Callithrix jacchus: one gene and its partner. The protein of the gene in region 1 interacts with the protein of each later gene in a pairwise test. Links are inferred from orthologs where the notes say so. Each region holds a gene or a part of one and is shown in the gene's direction. Other genes may lie near its edges.

The links.
Region 2: the proteins of PDIK1L (region 1) and C7H1orf174 interact in binary tests that used the Homo sapiens proteins (3 or more experiments, as listed by UniProt). The two-hybrid records come from large-scale screens. The link is inferred for Callithrix jacchus from reciprocal best matches to the Homo sapiens genes PDIK1L and C1orf174.

Annotation. Positions count from the first base shown.
Region 1 is NC_133508.1:62,761,368-62,770,476, forward strand, and holds the start of PDIK1L (serine/threonine-protein kinase PDIK1L), read left to right. Parts: upstream 1-3,364; 5' UTR 3,365-3,956; coding exon 3,957-4,131; intron 4,132-5,870; coding exon 5,871-6,172; intron 6,173-9,109.
Region 2 is NC_133508.1:41,762,995-41,771,338, reverse strand, and holds the end of C7H1orf174 (UPF0688 protein C1orf174 homolog), read left to right. Parts: intron 1-3,802; coding exon 3,803-3,916; intron 3,917-5,026; coding exon 5,027-5,515; intron 5,516-6,032; coding exon 6,033-6,149; 3' UTR 6,150-6,974; downstream 6,975-8,344.

The DNA of each region.
Region 1 (9,109 bases):
GGAATGGGAAGTACTATTTTAGAAACTTGTTTCCAAGTTTCTAAAATAGTACTATATAATAAGATACATTCATAGACATCTCATTCCCATTCCTATCCCCTCCAGCCCACATAGGCAACTAGTTTTTAGAAGTTTGGGATTTATTCTTCCATTGTTTACCTTTTAAATATAAGTACTTAATGTATATTTATCTCTTCATTACTCACATGGAGTAGCATACTATAAACCCTGTATGCACTTTGCTTATTTCACTTAATAATAAACATAGAGATCATTTGATATTACTATATATAAGAAACTTCCCACTTTTTTTTTTTTTTTTTTTTTGAGACAGAGTCTTGCTCTGTCATCCAAGCTGGAGTGCAGTCGTGTGACCTTGGCTCACTGCAACCTCTATCTCCCAGGTTCAAGAGATTCTCCTGCCTCAACCTCCCAAGTAGCGGGGACTACAGGTGCACATCATCATGCCCACCTAATTTTTATATTTTTAGTAGAGATGGGGTTTCACCATGTTGGCCAGGCTGGTCTCAAACTCCTGACCTCAAGTGATATGCCCACCTCAGCCTTCCAGAGTGCTAGGAGTACCTGTGTAAGCTACCACGCCTGGCCTCTTGCACATACCTTTTCGCAGCAGTATAGTACTTCAGCCTATGTATGTACTGTAATTTATTCAATCAGTTCTTTATTATTAGACATGCAAGCGGTTTCCAATCTTTTGCTATTCATTAAAGCAATAATGAATAGCCTTGTACATACAGGTTTGTTGTTGTGTGTGTGTGTGTGTGTGTGTTTACCAGTATATTACCAGGATAGATTCCTCGAAATCTAGTATTTGATCTAGGGTTACTGGATCAAATAATATGGCTATATATTGCCAAACTTCTTTGTTAACAGTTATATCACTTTGCCTTCCCACCAGCAATGTATGAGAATGCAGGTGTATTTTGATATCATATCAGATTGAGGAGGCTGCAGAGATGAATCACAAAGATTCCTATCCGCAGGAATTCTCAGTCTTTTAGGAGGCCTACGGGCAACAACAACAAAAAATGACATAACATACTAAGCAGGAGGCAGATTCACCCTGAAGCTAATTAATCTTTAGCTTTGGAGTCCTTTGCTTATAGGGACCCTTTCCAGTGTTCCAGGTATGTGTTCACAGGGCCATTGTATAACCTTTTCCCTAAGGACACCGCAAATTATTTAAGTTTCAGGCCCCACAAGACCTGAACCCACCTCACGGACTTTACAGCGAGCCTAAATTTGAGAATGAGGGTGGATTTCAAATCTCATCTGCAGCTAACTTGAGAGCAAGAGTTCCTATGATATTCAATGACACACAAAGAAAACACAAACGCTACTTTGAGAGAGGTCCCTCCCGATTTGGATCAATAACCCACACAGGTAGCTAGCTGTGTACACAAAGCCTTCTATATTTTCCCTTTATTTTTTTTTTTTTGAGATGGAGTTTCGCTGTTGTTACCCAGACTGGAGTGCAATGGCACGATCTCGGCTCACTGAAACCTCTGCCTCCTGGGTTCAAGCAATTCTCCTGCCTCAGCCTCCCGAGTAGCTGGCGCGCATCACCACGCCCAGCTGATTTTTGTATTTTTAGTGGAGACGGGGTTTCACCTTGTTGACCAGAATGGTCTCGATCTCTTGACCTTGTGATCCACCCGCCTTAGCCTCCCCAAGTGCTGTGATTATAGGTGTGAGCCACCGCGACCCGAAATTTTCCCTTTACTTTTGAGGGCGGGAAATAAGTCTTGGCCTGTCACCAGTGTTTCCAGCAAACAGCTGAAGACCTGACACTTGGATGGCACTCAGGACAAAAGTCTGAACAGATTACAGAACCAATGTGGGGTTTTTTAAGGGGACAGAGTATTACACCGGGGAGTGGGTATTCAAGGTAGACACACCCCAAAAAAGACACTTCAGTAAAAAGAGGCAGAGGTGTTTCCTCATCTGCAAAAATAGGATAATAAAACCTCCCCTTGTGGGGTTAGGTTAGGGTTAAACAAGATAATTTATATATGTAAAGATAATCTCAGACTCTCGGGAGAAATAGCATAAATGGAGAACAGAAAATAAAACGGGTTGATCTTTGAGCACAGCGACAGGGATTCTTTATACATCGTGCCTTATAGAGCGAGCGCTAGGAGGAGGAACCATCACCTTGCTGACAAGTAATCGGTGCAAAATAAATCGGGGAAGAAGGAATGGACGTTTCTGGCGGATGCTTACTGATCTAACAACTGGATGACTGAGAGGTCCGGGCCTGAGTGACCCCGCGCTGGCTGTGGGGCCGACAGCGTGCAGGATCTGACTGACAGCGTGTGGCACCCGGGCGACTGCAGCAGCGGCGGAACTCCCATTGACCGTCCTGTCTCGAAAGGGCCCGGAGCGCGGTGGATCTGGGCTCGGACCGAGGCCTCTTCCGCGCGCCGACTGCAGACCGACCCTCCACCAGGAACCTCGGGGGGACGCCGCGGTCACTGCAGCCAGGTGCGGGCGTCACCGTCCCCTCCCTCCCAGCGCCAGGCAGGGGGCCCTGGCTCCCTGCTGCCACCACCGGGAAACAATGAGGCGCCGGCTTCTTTAAGGGAGATACCACCGCGCCGGCGGGGCAGGGGACGACGTCTTCCCAGATGATCGCACTCAGCCCCGCGCCGCTGCCGCCTTCTCGGCAACTGCATCGTCCGCAAACATGGCTCAGTGACTCGGACAAAAGCTGCAGCCTCCCTCCCGGCGGGGCGGACGCCAGACCTTCTTGCTCGGGCCGCGCCTCCACGCGGGCCCGCCAAAGCAGCACCGCGCCCCGCAAGCACCCAAGGCCCGCGCAGAAGATGCAAGCGGCGTACCACCCCAGCGAGCCCCGCATCCCAGCCCGCAGCTCGGTAGGTTGGAAGGGGGGTGGCGAGGGGGAGGGGAGGCCACGGCGGGGCGCACGCAGCCCCAGGCCAGGGCCTGCTGCTGCAGACCGTCCCCGGGGCCGCGTGCCCTACGCGCCCGCTGCGGCTGGAGGGTGACCGAGACCCCGCGTGGCATGGCCTCGCGGTTCTCGGACCCGGCCACCCCTGCGGAGAGCAGCACCAGTGGTGCGCTCCGTAGCGCGTACACCTCCGACTCCAGGATCTGCAAATCCTCGGGAGAGGGAGGTGGCGAGCGGAGGGCCGGCCACGCGCCTGATCAGTGGCGCGGAACTTACCGGCTCGCACTACGGAAAGCCGGAGGGGGGCGGGGCCGCCAGCGTAAGGGGGTGTGTCCGCGCGCACCACGGGGGCGCGCGCCGGCCGCTGACTGGAGGCGGCGGCTGCAGCGGAGGCGCGAGCTGCCCGATAATGGCGGCCTGCAGAGCCCGTGAGAGGGAGAAGCGGCAGCGTCTACCCTGAGGTAAATCTGGCTCTTCGGCGTGGTGGAGAGGCCCTGCTGCAGTGCCGACGGCCCTGCATGTGCCTCCCTCCCCGGGAGGCCTGTCACAGACCTGTCAGTGGAGTCATCCTGGGGAAGGCCCCGCGCCCCTCAGGCCACCGGCCCTAGCCGCGGCCTCCTCTCACACCTGGGCCACCTCCCCAAGCCCCGGCCCTCAGCCCCCGGCCCCGAGGAGTTGAGGCAGCTGCAGGGCTGGCTCCTCTGGGCAAAGGGGCTCGGGAGCCTCCCCTCCGGGCTTCATCTGAGCGCGGCCGAGGAGGGGGAGGGCCTGACACTTGGCCAATGAGCGCGGCCTGAGCCGCCGCGTCGGACAACACCTCTGGCCCGGACTGGCCCTTCACGGGCGCCGGCAGGTGTCTGGCCTGGCCGGCCCGCGTCCCGGCGCCAGGTTAGAAAGGCGAGAGCGAGGTCCCGCCACTTGCCGTCGAAAGTCGCTTAGGTTCGCACCGGATGCATCATTCGATCCGGGATCCCACGGGTTTCATAAACACCCCTCCTCCCTATTCGGGAAGGTGCTCCTCCCTATGGGGACTGTACCTGGCTGGAGAGGACATGGGACTGCTTCAGAGACACGAACCACCTTGAGTGGATGTGACTGGCGATCGCCGAAGAGCAGGAAAACTCGTCTGCTGTACAGTCGGGGCAGAGGATTCTGTGGCAGGAAATCAGACACTAGGAAATTCGGTAGCGATTTGAAGGGTGGGTGTCCGGTTAGAGGAAGTGGGACTGAAAGCAATCTCAGAAGTCCTTTCTTGATTAAATCTATCCTATGGACTTAACGCAGCGGATCCCAACTTCTCAGGCTCTAGGGTCAGTAGCTTTTTGCATTTCCCAGCTGAACAGAATAAATATTGTACAATCTCAGGTTACTTTTCTTGCCCGTGGCAACAATCTACAAAAGCGAATTCGTTCGTGAAGTTCGTTAGAATCTAGAAATTCTTTGGGGAGTAAGGAAGCACACTTTAGACTGTCTTTATTCAACACATGAGTATTTCTGTATAGGGCCTTTGCTCTCGCCTTTAAACCATTCACTAAGTTGAATTCCCAAGAACTCTGTTAGAGAGCCCATTGATATGCAGGACTTTTTTTTTTTTTTTTTTTTTTTTTTTTTAAGAGACAGGATTTTACCATGTTGACCAGGATGGTCTCGATTTCTTGACCTAGTGATCCGCCCGCCTCGGCCTCCCAAAGTGCTGGGATTACAGGCGTGAGCCACCGCGCCCGGCCCACAGAATATTTTTTGTTGGCAAAAATGACCTAGAACTATTGTTTACTCCAGCTCTCTTCTGATTAGTAAAAAGGAAACATAAGTAAAAAATTTTAAATAGCTATTGTTAAATGACTACAAAAGGTAACTGTATTCTAAGTAGCTTGCTTTATTTTTAAAGAAAAGTTTCGGGCTGGGCGCGGTGGCTCACGCCTGTAATCCCAGCACTTTGGGAGGCCGAGGCGGGTGGATCACGAGGTCAAGAGATCAAGACCATCCTGGTCAACATGGTGAAACCCGTCTCTGCTAAAAATACAAAAAATTAGCTGGGCATGGTGGCTCGTCCTGTAATCCCAGCTACTCAGGAAGCTGAGGGAGGAGAATTGCCTGAACCCAGGAGGCGGAGGTTGCGGTGAGCCGAGATCGCACCATTGCACTCCAGCCTGGGTAACTGCGTCTCAAAAAAAAAGTTTCTTCTCCATAAAGTTTATTTTCATTTATTTTGTAAGAAATAAGGAGATGACATAAGAAACAAAATTAAAATATGAATAAAAGTTTGGCCACTTTTGCATAATGAAAACAAACATTTTCAGTTCTATAAATGTTCTGGTTCACTGTCAGGCCTTAAGCATAAGCCAGGTGTTTGTATTTCTAACTGTGAGGGGGTTTTGTTTTTGCTGTTTTATGACCATTATGTCTGTGTCAGCCTGAAGGAGAAGCTGGGATTTTGCTTGCTTGCTTGTTTTTTCCTGATCAGTGGATAAGAATGCTGAATTTTGGGAATGTATTTTTAACAGTGACATTTTTCAAGCAGTTCATACAAGAGACAGTATACTGTAGTGCTTAAAATTGTGGTTGTCTGAGGCAGATGGCCTGATTTAAAATCCCAGTTCCATGAGTTACTAGCTATTGACCTTAGGCATTTCCTTTAACCTCTCCATTACATAGTTTCATCTATAAAAAGACCATACTAGTATCTACCTCATAAGATTATTATGAGGATTAACCAAATTTAATATTCGAAAGAGTTTAAAACAGTTCCTGATACATAGTAAATACTACCTGTTAGCTTTATTGTTACTATTCTTAAAATTAGATTTTCCCTAGATATAGCAAATATCCCTCAAGCACTGCAGACAGTGAAACAGATGACAAGCAAATCATATATAAAAGGAAATACAAGCCAGTAGGTATACATAATTTCAACAGAGCACTTTGTTGATTTTTCCAGAAACCTCGACCTTGAAGATGGTGAGTAGCCAGCCAAAGTACGATCTAATACGGGAGGTAGGCCGAGGTAGTTACGGTGTTGTGTATGAAGCAGTCATCAGAAAGACTTCTGCACGGGTGGCAGTGAAGAAAATTCGATGTCACGCACCTGAAAATGTTGAACTAGCTCTTCGTGAGTTCTGGGCACTAAGCAGTATCAAGAGCCAACATCCAAATGTGATTCACTTGGAGGAATGCATCCTACAAAAGGATGGGATGGTGCAAAAGATGTCCCACGGCTCTAATTCTTCCCTTTATTTACAGGTATGTGTTGTTGATTGGGAAATAGAAATGATTCGAACATGGCATTGGTCAGCAAGAGGAATGACAGGGTCAAACATTTCCCTTTAAATGCAGGTGTTTTGTAGTTAGAAGTAGATAAGTGTCTGCCAAGAATTGAGTAGATGTTTGCTTTAAAACAAGGTTTTATTTAAACCTGTGATGCACATACCTAAAAATAACATAAGCCACCTGTTATGCAATGGTACTTGCCAGTCTGCATAGGAATGGGGCAAGATAGGAGCTAGAGAAGTGCTTGAGACTACAGTCTAATAACTTCATTTCTTTGAAATCAATAATTCTGGACTTGACAGAAGAAAAGGAAAAACTCCACAACCAATAGCAACACCCTTAGGTAATTGGGCATCTCTTTTATAAATCGCTGGTTTGAATGTCAGCCTTTGCTGTTTTAGAGGGATATTTGGTTTCTTCACCATGCAATTCCAGTTAATTTTCATGAAGTACGTGGTTTAACACCTGAATGTTATTAACAGTGCTAATAGCTAACATTTGAATTCCCACTCAGTTCCATGCTCTGTGTTAAGTGCTTTAAAAGCAGTTGCTCAAAACAATCCTATGAGGAAAGGACTATTATTATCTTCACTACAAATGAAGAAACTGAGGCTTAGGATAGATAATGAATTTATCCAAAGTTACATACCTAGTAAGTGGTAGAATTGGGAGCTGGAGCTAAGACTGGCAGCTAAAGCTTATGCTCTCTTAACTTCCAAATTACTCTTCTGTAAACCTGGGTAAATGGAAAAGCTTTTCTGTTTTTCTTTTGTTGGCTTCTGTCAGAAATTTAAATCTCTAGTAGCTCTATACTCAAAGAATAAAAAAAGATATTAAGATATAGCTTGTTAAAGGTTAGGGCAAAATTTCTTTTTTTTTTTTTTGGATAGAGACGGGGTTTCACCATGTTGCCCAGGCTGGTCTTGAACTCCTGAGCTTAGGCAGTCCGCCTGCCTCGTCCTCCCAAAGTGCTGGGATTACAGGCTTGAGCCACCACGCCTGGCTGCAAAATTTCTTAAAGCTAGTCATTCTTGGAAAAGAAAACAACTTTGAGTGCATCTAAATTCAGAATTTACCATGAGACTTTTGCCATTCAAAGTCTGCTTTTGGGCGGGGTGCTATGGGCTCATCACGCCTGTGAGACCAGCCTGGCCAACATGGCAAAACCCTGTCTCTACTAAAAAAATACAAAAATTAGCCTGGCATGGTAATGTGCAACTGTAATCCTAACTACTCAGAAGGTTGAGGCAGGAAAATCTCTTGAACCCAGGAGGCAGAGGCTGCAGCAGGCCGAGATGACACCTTTGCATTCCAGCATGGGGGACAGAGCGAGACTCTGTCTCAAAAAAAAAAAGGCTCTTTTGGCTAGGTGCAGTGGCTTACACAACACTTTAGGTGGCAGAGGCAGGAGGCAGGAGTATCACTTGAACCCAGGAGTTCAAGACCAGCCTGGATAATATAGCGAAACCTCATCTGTGCAAAAAAAAAATTTTTAGGTGTGGTGGCATGCACCTTATAGTCCCACCTACTTGAGAGGCTGAGGTGGAAGGATTGCTTGAATCCAGGAGGCAGAGGTTGCAGTGAGCTGACATTGTGCCACTGCACTGCAGCCTGGGTGACAGAGCAAGATTCTGTCTCAAACAAAACCTGTTTTTAAAAGAAGAAAAGCTTTTGGAGTAGGAACAACAAAACAAATACATGAATGTATATATTAAGAAACTTGCAAGTTTCTCTGTATGATGAGCAAATATTAGTCTTGAGAATTTAATTTATATTACAATTTAGCACTCTGTGCCCTGAAGTTATTATTATTATTTTTTTTGAGATGGAGTCTTGCTCTGTTGCTCAGGCTAGAGTGCGGTGGTGTGATCTCGGCTCACTGCAACCTCCACTTCCCAGTGATTTTCCTGCCTCAGCCTTCTGAGTAGTTGGGACTAAGGTGCCTGCCACCACACCCAGCTAATTTTTTTATGTTTTGTTTGCTTTTCTAAAAGTGCTTATTATGTAAGTTGAATTGATAGAAAATATTGGAAACATTCTTACTCTGTTTTCTCTTAAAAGTGGATAGAGGCTGGGCACGGTGGCTCACACCTGTAATCCTAGCACTTTGGGAGGCTGAGGCAGGCAGATTACCTGAGCTCAGGAGTCTGAGACCAGCCTTGGCAACATGGTGAAACCCCATCTCTACTGAAATACAAAAATTTAGCCAGGCATAGCGGCATGTGCCTGTATTCCCAGCTACTTAGGAAGCTGAGGCAGGAGAATTTCTTGAACCTGGGAGGCAGGGATTGCAGTGAGCCAAGATCACACCTCTGCACTCTAGCCTGGGTGACAGAATGAGACTCCATCTCCAAAACAAAACAAAAACAAACAAAAAGGGGGATAGAAAGCCCAACATGGTGGCTCACGCCTATAATTCCAGCACTTTGGGAAGCTGAAGTCAGTGAATCACTTGAGCTCAGGAGTTCAAGACCAGCCTGGGCAAAATGGCGAAACCCCATCTCTACAAAAAGTACAAAAAGTTAGCCAGGTGTGGTGGTGCACACCTCTGGTCCCAGCTGTTTGGGAAGCTGAGGTGGGAGGATCACTTGAGCCCAGGAGACAGAGGTTGCAGGAAGCCTAGATTGGGCCACTGCACTCCAGCCTGGCGACAGAGCCAGACCCTGTCTCAGAAAAAAAAAGTGGATAGAACTTTGCCAAACTTTACATTTAGTTTTAGAGATTAAGATGCATGATCTCTTTTGAAGTAGAAAAGCAAAGATATTTAAACAAGATTTATTAGCTGAGCATGGTGGCATGCACCTATAGTTCTAGCTACTCAGGAGACTGAGGCAGGAGGATTGCTAGAGTCCAGTTCAAGACTGCAGTGACCCATGATTGCACCATTGCACTCTAGCCCAGATCATGGAG
Region 2 (8,344 bases), about 21 Mb from region 1:
TATGTAGATATTCTGGAGCAAGTTTTCTCCATTTGCTGGGTGCCCGTAGGACCATTTCCAAAGGCTCTCTAAATGGTTGTTTTGGGACTGCTCATCACTTTGTCTGAGTAGGTCCTCAAGCTGTCTCGGCCAGCCCTTTTGGAGGAACTGTGTTTGTGCTTCTGATATTCCAGTTTTTAAACAACCTAGTAGAATGAGGAGGATGTCAATGATGACAAAGTCTTTTGTTTTTGGACTGTGGGACCAATCTGAGCTGCCCAACTGCAGAGCAAGAATCTGCAAGTGAGAATGTGACCAATTCTTGATATTTTAGAGTTGACACCTTGGAGGTGGTTAATCCATGGTGAAACTGAAGCTAAGCTGCTCTCATATTTTGACTCCTGTCAGTCCGGAGTGGACAGCAGATGGCCGGCTGGTGTCTATAACAGCCAGCGCTTCCAAGCCCACCAGACCCTCTGGCTTTTCTCTGCAGAAGGGGCCAAAAGGTCACCTGATGAGCCAGTCACACATGAAGAGTTCAGAACCACTGCTGCCAAGATGCTGATGGAATCTTTGAGACGCACCTGCTTCAGGAAAAGAACTGCAGGTGCAGAACACACAGACTGGCAGGCATAGAACACGGACCTGCAGGCGCAGAACACACAGATGAGCAGGCACGGAACACAGACCTGCAGGCACAGAACGCTGAGACCCGCAGGCGCGGAACACGGACCTGCAGGCGCAGAACACACAGATGCGCAGGCACGGAACTCACAGACATGCAGGCACAGAACTCGCAGACATGCAGGCACAGAACTCGCAGACATGCAGGCACGGAACTCGCAGACATGCAGGCACAGAACGCTGAGACCCGCAGGCACAGAACACGGACCTGCAGGCACAAAACGCTGAGACCCGCAGGCGCGGAACACGGACCTGCAGGCACAGAACACACAGACACGCAGGCGTGGAACGCTGAGACCCGCAGGCTCAGAACACACAGACGCAGACTTGGAGGCGCAGAACGCTGAGACCCGCAGGCAGAGAACACGGACCTGCAGGCACAGAACGCTGAGACCCACAGGCAGAGAACATGGACCTGCAGGCACAGAACGCTGAGACCCGCAGGCGCGGAACACGGACCCGCAAGCTCAGAACACACAGACGCAGACTTGGAGGCGCAGAACGCTGAGACCCGCAGGCGCGGAACACGGACCTGCAGGCACAGAACACACAGACACGCAGGCGTGGAACGCTGAGACCCGCAAGCTCAGAACACACAGACGCAGACTTGGAGGCACAGAACGCTGAGACCCGCAGGCGGAGAACACGGACCTGCAGGCACAGAACGCTGAGACCCGCAGGTGCAGAACACAGACCTGCAGGCACAGAACGCTGAGACCCGCAGGTGCAGAACACGGACCTGCAGGCACAGAACACTGAGACCCGCAGGTGCAGAACACGGACCTGCAGGCACAGAACGCTGAGACCCGCAGGTGCAGAACAGAGTTCAGTCCCCACCTCAGGCAGTTTTTGGGAGTCATATCTGGGGTGAGCTATGGTGATGGAAGAGAGATTTGGAGGCCAGGCATCACTTGTGTAATCTTATAAGCTCCTTACCCAAGTTCTCATCTGAAATGTGGGTACCGTTCCTTTAAAGCTGCTCAGGCACGGAGCTTGGCTCCCCACAGCATATTCCAGCGCAGGGCAGTGCAGTGTCTGGAGGAGGGGTCCCAGCAGGGAGGAGAGAATGGGCAGTGGCTTTCTAGAACAGAGGTGTCTTTTCCCTATGAGGCTCATGATGACATTTTAGAGAGATGGGCTTCAGACCCAGTGGGAGGATTTTAATGAAAGGTGTTTATGGCAACTCTTAGCAAGTTCTGTTACCTCTGTTGCCTCAGCTCCCTTGGTGTAGCTGTGATCATGACGTCTGCCGAGGCTCTCAGCAAAGCCCTGCCCTCATGAGAGGATGGAGGCCCAGCCCCTGGTGTGCCATGGTAGCAGGTGCTTCACGGGCCTGTGGGCACCTGATTTGTCTTGTGTATAGCTGGCAGGTGTCCTGGCCTCCTGTCGGCTGCTGCCTGCTCTTCCCCGTTTTAAATGCAACTCCAACTGCCACAGTATCATGGCATCTTGGAGCTGCCACTTCCCAGGGCTTCCGGAGCTGTCTTGGGCTACGGGCTGATGGTGAAGATGGCTTATTTCTGTGTGTCATTCTTGTTTCCTTTTTAATTTCTCTTATCTGCTGTTGGGCAGAGCACTCTTCATCCATCCCTCTGGGTTCCAGTTCTAGGGCCTGTCGGCAGTAGCTCTTGGGCCTTTCCTGGCCGTTCCAGCCTGCATTGCTCCTATTTATTGCTTCTGCTACCCACACTCATTTCTTTTGAGTTTTAAGGTGAGCTTTAAAACGTATCATCTTCTGAGTGCAATGTGATATTCTAGACTGGATTCTGGAGCAGAGAAACAGTTCATGGAGAAACTGATAAAACACAAGTAAAGTCTATAATTTAGTGAAGAGTACTGTGCTGTTGCTAATTTCTTTCTTTCTTTTTTTTTTTTTTGAGATGGAGTCTCCATCTGTCACCCAGGCTGGAGTGTAATAGCGCAATCTGAGATCACTGCAACTTCGGCTTCCTGGGTTCAAGCGATTCTCCCAGGCAGCTGAGACTACAGACATGCGCCACCATGCCCGGCTAATTTTTGTACTTTAGTAGAGACAGGGTTTCACCATGTTGGCCAGGCTGGTCTCGAACTCTGACCTCAGATGATCCACCCACCTTGGCCTCTCAAAGTGCTGGGATTACAGGTGTGAGCCACCCCATCTGGCCACTAATTTCTGAATGTTGACAAATGTCCTGTAGTTGTTTTAACATTAGTGGAAGCAGAGTGAAGGCTACATAGCAACTCTCTGTACTATTTTTTTATCATTATTTTTTCAGAGACACGGTCTTTGTCACCCAGGTGGAGTGCAGTGGGACAGTCATAGCTCACTGCAGCATCAAACTCCTGGGATCAAGTGATCCTCTCACCTCAGCCTCCCATATACCTGGAACTACAGGTGTACACCACCCCACCTGGCTAATTTTTTTTTTTTAATATTTTAGAGATGGGATCTTGCTGTGTTGCCCAGGCTGGTCTTGAACTCCTGGCCTCAAACAATCCTGCCTCAGACTCCCAAGTAGCTGTGATGACAGGTGTGAGCCATCACACCCGTTTCTTTGTACTACTTTTTGCAACTTTTCTGAAAACCTAAAATTATTCCTAAATAGTTAAAGTGTTGTGTCTTTAATTTCTTTCTTGTTATTAGAAGAGTTTGCATTGCATTCAGAGTGAAAGAGGAGTAGAGCAGTTTGTTAATATGAAGATTTGTGAGACAGTAGCTTGCTGCTTTCCACTAATAGAATAGGACTCTAATTTGAGGGAGAGAAGCTTTGGTTTTCTCATGCTGCCTTTTCTCAAGAACTTTGACAATGTAGAAAAGTTGCAGCTCCCTCTCAGGGAGGGCATGTCCTGCTTATTCTGAACACTTTGAAGTTGACTTAAGTTCCACTAATGTACACATAGTGGTTACTAGAAACATGCAAGATAAGGGACCAGATTGCCCCAAGCCTCTGAGATCCTGGGAAGAGTAGCTCCTGTATCTTAAACCTAGGCACAGTTTTGTTCGGATTTGCTCATTCAGGCCACAGGTGTCTCCACAAAGATGATACTCCGTGGGAGTAGGAGGGGCTGTCTTCGGTTATCTGTAAGTGGGAAATTCTCCTCTGCGCATTCATGCTGCTTTCCGCAGAGCACTCTCTGACTGGCTCTCGATCTGATCTAGCTCACAGGTGGAGTGCGGTCTTCAGCACGCCTGAAAGCCCGAAATTGTTCAGCAACCGGGTTGGCCTCTGCCCAGGAAGTCGCTGGTTCCACGTCTGCCAAGACAGCATGTCTGGTGAGCCCTGTTACCATGGAGAACGCCAAGTTCCTGACTCAAGGGTCCATTTTCATACAAAATTGTCATTCCAAGATGTGTCGCTTTAGGAAAATATCAAATGTTGCTTATCTGCCAGAGGGGGAGTATTTCAGATGAAAAGGTGGCAGCACTCTAATTGTCTTCAGGGAAAGACACACTCGACAGGCCACCCGTGTGTGTGTGTGTGTGTGTGTGTGTGTGTGTGTGTCTCTCTCTCTCTCTCTCTCTCTCTCTCTCTCTCTCTCTCTCTCTCTGTCTCTAGACCCAGGCTCTATCCTAGCACCTGCCCGCCCGTGTGTATGTGTGTGTGTGTGTGTGTGTCTCTAGACCCAGGCTCTATCCTAGCACCTGCCCACCTGTGTGTGTGTGTCTAGACCCAGGCTCTGAGACCACTTGTGCTCGTAGCTCTGCTCTTAGGTCAGCTGTTGAGTCTTGTTGGCCTGTTGCCATGCCGCCTCACCCCCAGAGGCTTTAAGAGAAAGGCAGAGTGGGTGGGAAAAGGATGCTCACGTCAAATGCCGTTCAACCTAGCGTAGCTGTCATTTCCGAGGAGTGAGTTCCTGAACTTACTGGTGAAGTAGAGCTGCGCCACTGAGCCCAGAGCTGCAGCTGAGGGGTTGGGACTTGGCCATATGCCAGCCTCTAGCACAGTTTTGCTCATAATGAGGGGTTTGGTAAAAATTTGTCAAAGTCAATTTAGCAAATATTTTTAAGCACCTACTGTGTGCCAGACAGTATTCAGCGAATAAAGCAAAGACCCCTGCCTTCACGGAGCTTTTGCCATAGCAGAAATGCATGAAAGCTGGTTCTTTCATTGTAATTGTATAATATATAAATCCATGCTTCAGAATTCCCCTCGGGAACTGTGATGCCTCTAGGAAAACAAAGTGGAGGAGTGCTGTTGGGGCATGTCTGGATTCAGTCGCAGCCTCACTTGGATTTTGTCTGTTGGCGGCAGAACAGTGAAATGGCGATCCGTGAAGGTTGTGGCCTTCTCATTTCACACGTGAGGAGAAGTACTAGCCTCTGCACCAAGGCCTGGTTCATTTGCTACATGTGTCTGGTCCCCTGATATTTTTTTCTTGACAGACTTCCTCATCCCACAAAGCCACAGACAGGCGAATGTCCAAGAAGTTCAAGTGTGACAAAGGTCATCTTGTGAAGTCAGAATTACAGAAGCTTGTCCCTAAGAATGACACCGCTTCTTTGCCAAAAGTGACACCGGAGACCCCTTGTGAAGATGAGTTTGCTGAAGGCAGGGCCTTGCTTCCAGGAGGTGAGGCTGGAGTTTCTGTGCAGCAGGAGGCTGCAAATCTGCCCCTTGGTGGCTGCAGAGCTGTGAGTGACTCTCGCTTAGCAAAGACTGAAGGTGGCCTATCCCTGCCGAAACACAGTGCTGGGGCAGGGGCAGAAGAATCCAACAGCAGCTCCACTGTGCAGAAGCAGAATGAGTCAGGGCTGGAGGGAGAGGACATGCAGAAGCCACCACTTCAGATGGACAACAGCATCTTCCTAGATGATGACAGCAACCAGCCAATGCCCGTGAGCCGCTTCTTTGGAAACGTTGAGCTCATGCAGGTAAGAGTGGCCCCTTCCTCTTTCCGAGGGCATCAGGCAGCCAAGCAGCACACTGCCCACTTACTGCATGTAAATAATGCCTTGACAAAAAATTCAACGTCAGTTAATCATTTTAACCCCAGAGGAGGAAATGAAACCGTTGGCTAATTGGGAGCACTCCCTCCGTCTCCCAAGCTGAGAATCATTGCCATGAGGAAAGGCTGTGGCGGGGGAAGGGGGGCGGTCTCCTCCCGAAGCCACAGGTATGTTTTCATGGAATCAGGTTTGTGGTTTCTGGAGCGTCCATCCCACACTTTCTGTTGCTTTCTCTTTTGTTTTGAACCCAGCATCTTCCCTTCTCTGCTTCATCAGCCCAGTAAGGAGGAAGCTCTTATCTAGAGAAAGTGCTGGGACTCAGTCACTTTCCCGCGTCTAAAAGGGAAGAGTGCTCTGCAGCCCCAAAGCAAGTGGATGGGTGCATTGCAGATGCAAATGTGTGTTGCTCGTGACTGAAGTCCGTGTTTTCTTCTCCTCTAAGGACCTCCCACCTGCGTCTTCATCTTGTCCTTCAATGAGCAGACGAGAGTTCAGAAAAATGCATTTCAGAGCCAAAGACGACGATGATGATGATGATGATGATGATGCGGAAATGTAGAGCCTTTACCAGATGATGTCTGTGTGCTTAGTACCATTAACCTTTGACAGTTTAGCACATTACTAGATTTATATAAAGTGTGTCTCCAAGAGAATGTCTTCTTGGTCATACTTCAGAACTGACCCATCACAGTCTATAGTGCAAAGCACCAAATGCCTGTGGAAGATGTACTCATGGGAGCTAACACTAAAATAGTCTTTGAAATTGCAAAGCTGCCGTACTGTGCCAGTGGCCTTTCTTTGTTGTTGTTTTTTTGTTTGTTTGTTTTGGAGATGAAGTTTCTCTCTCCATCTTGCTCTGTCGCCAGGCTGGAGTGCAGTGGCGTCATCTCGGCTCACTACAGCTTCTGCCTCCCGGGTTTAAGCAATTCTCTTGCCTCAGCCTCCCCAGTAGCTAGGATTACAGGCATGCACCACCATACCCAGCTAGTTTTTGTATTATTAGTAGACAGGGTTTCACCATGTTGGCCAAGTTGGTCTCGAATTCCTGACCTCAGGTAATACACCTGCCTCAGCCTCCCAAAGTGCTGGGATTACAGGCATGAGCCACCGCACCCAGCCAGTGTCCTTTCTTACTGACGTACATACATGATGGCTTGAGTCAGCTGCAGGGCAGAGGCTCGCTGAGAGGGATCTTTGTAAAGACAGCTCTTCACTTCAGCTTGGTGGCTTTAGTTTATTTTCCGTTGTCATAATTTGATTATTCTTGTGATGAACTAAATGCTAGTTCTTAAAGAACTCTTTTTTTCTATATGTGGAGCTCATGTTTACCTTGGAAATTTTGCAAAATACATTTAAAAAAGAAATAAAACATATTTTGAAAGCAGTCTTATGTTCCTGAAACCGGATTCCTTTCTCAATGCCTGGGAGCCACATAGAGGAACCGAATCCTGCCTCAGTCTCATGCTCCCAAATGCTTGTAAGGCTGGGTCCTTTTTTTTTTCTTTTTTTTGAGACTGAGTCTCCCTCTGTCGCCCAGGCTGGAGTGCAGTGGCACAGCCTTGGCCCACTGCAACTTCTGCCTCCCGGGTTCAAGTGATTCTCTGACCTCAGCCTCCCAAGTAGCTAGGATTACAGGCATGTACCACCATGCCCGGCTAATTTTTTGTATTTTTAGTAGATACGGGGTTTCACCATGTTGGCCAGGCTGGTCTCAAACTCCTGACCTCAGGTGATCTGTCCACCTTAGCCTCCAAAAATGCTGGGATTACAGGTGTGAGCCACTGTGCCTGGCACAGGTCCATTCTTTTAGACCCGTTAACCACTGAGGCCCTTGGGAAAGGGCCCCTTCCCTCCTCTCAAGTGGACTTCTGCTCCCACGTGTCTGCCACAGAAATGTTGGGCTTTCCTCTCCTGTGCGGTGGGGAAGGTCAGCCATCCAGCAAGGGCTGTGCTCTCCTCCAGGCCATAGAGAGGGCCGTGTGTAGCTGCTTCACAAGGACTGTGTTCCCCAGCCCCACCAATGTCAAGGAGCACCTCGCTGCGTGTTCTCGCCTGGGGCAGTGGAGAGAAGCCGTTGGGAGTGCTTTGTCCATGGTCTGCTACCAACTGCACATAGAAGCCAAGTGGACCAACCAGGGGCGAGCTGGGGTCCCTGGGTGGCCAAGGACAAGGAGCTGCCTGCCATGTGGGAAGATCGTGTGGGCCTTTTCATGAGTGAGCAAGAGTCATGCTGGTTTTGAGCTATTACACATTTCTGGTTTATTATAAGAGCAGCTCGAGGCCGGGCGCGGTGGCTCACGCCTGTAATCCCAGCACTTTGGGAGGCCAAGGCAGGGTGGTCATGAGGTCAAGAGATCGAGACCATCCTGGGCAACATGGTGAAACCCCGTCTCTACTGAAAATACAAAAATTAGCTGGGCGTGGTGGCACATGCCTGTAATCCAGCTGCTGGGAAGGCTGAAGCAAGAGAATCGCTTTAACCCAGGAGGCAGAAGCTGCAGTGAGCCGAGATCAAGCCATCACACTCTGGCCTGGCGACAGAGCAAGACTCCATCAAAAAAAAAAAAGGCAGCTAGATGTAACCCCGTTAAAATGTCCTGTGAAGCACAGGAAGGATTTTCCATGACATAAATTGGAAGCAAAATACAGTTGAAGACACCCATAAGAAGTGTTTCCACTCTTTATTGTTCAAATACTGCCCTCCCTGAAGGTGTTGTTCTGCACTTCCAATGTGATCCTTTTCTCATGAGCTGT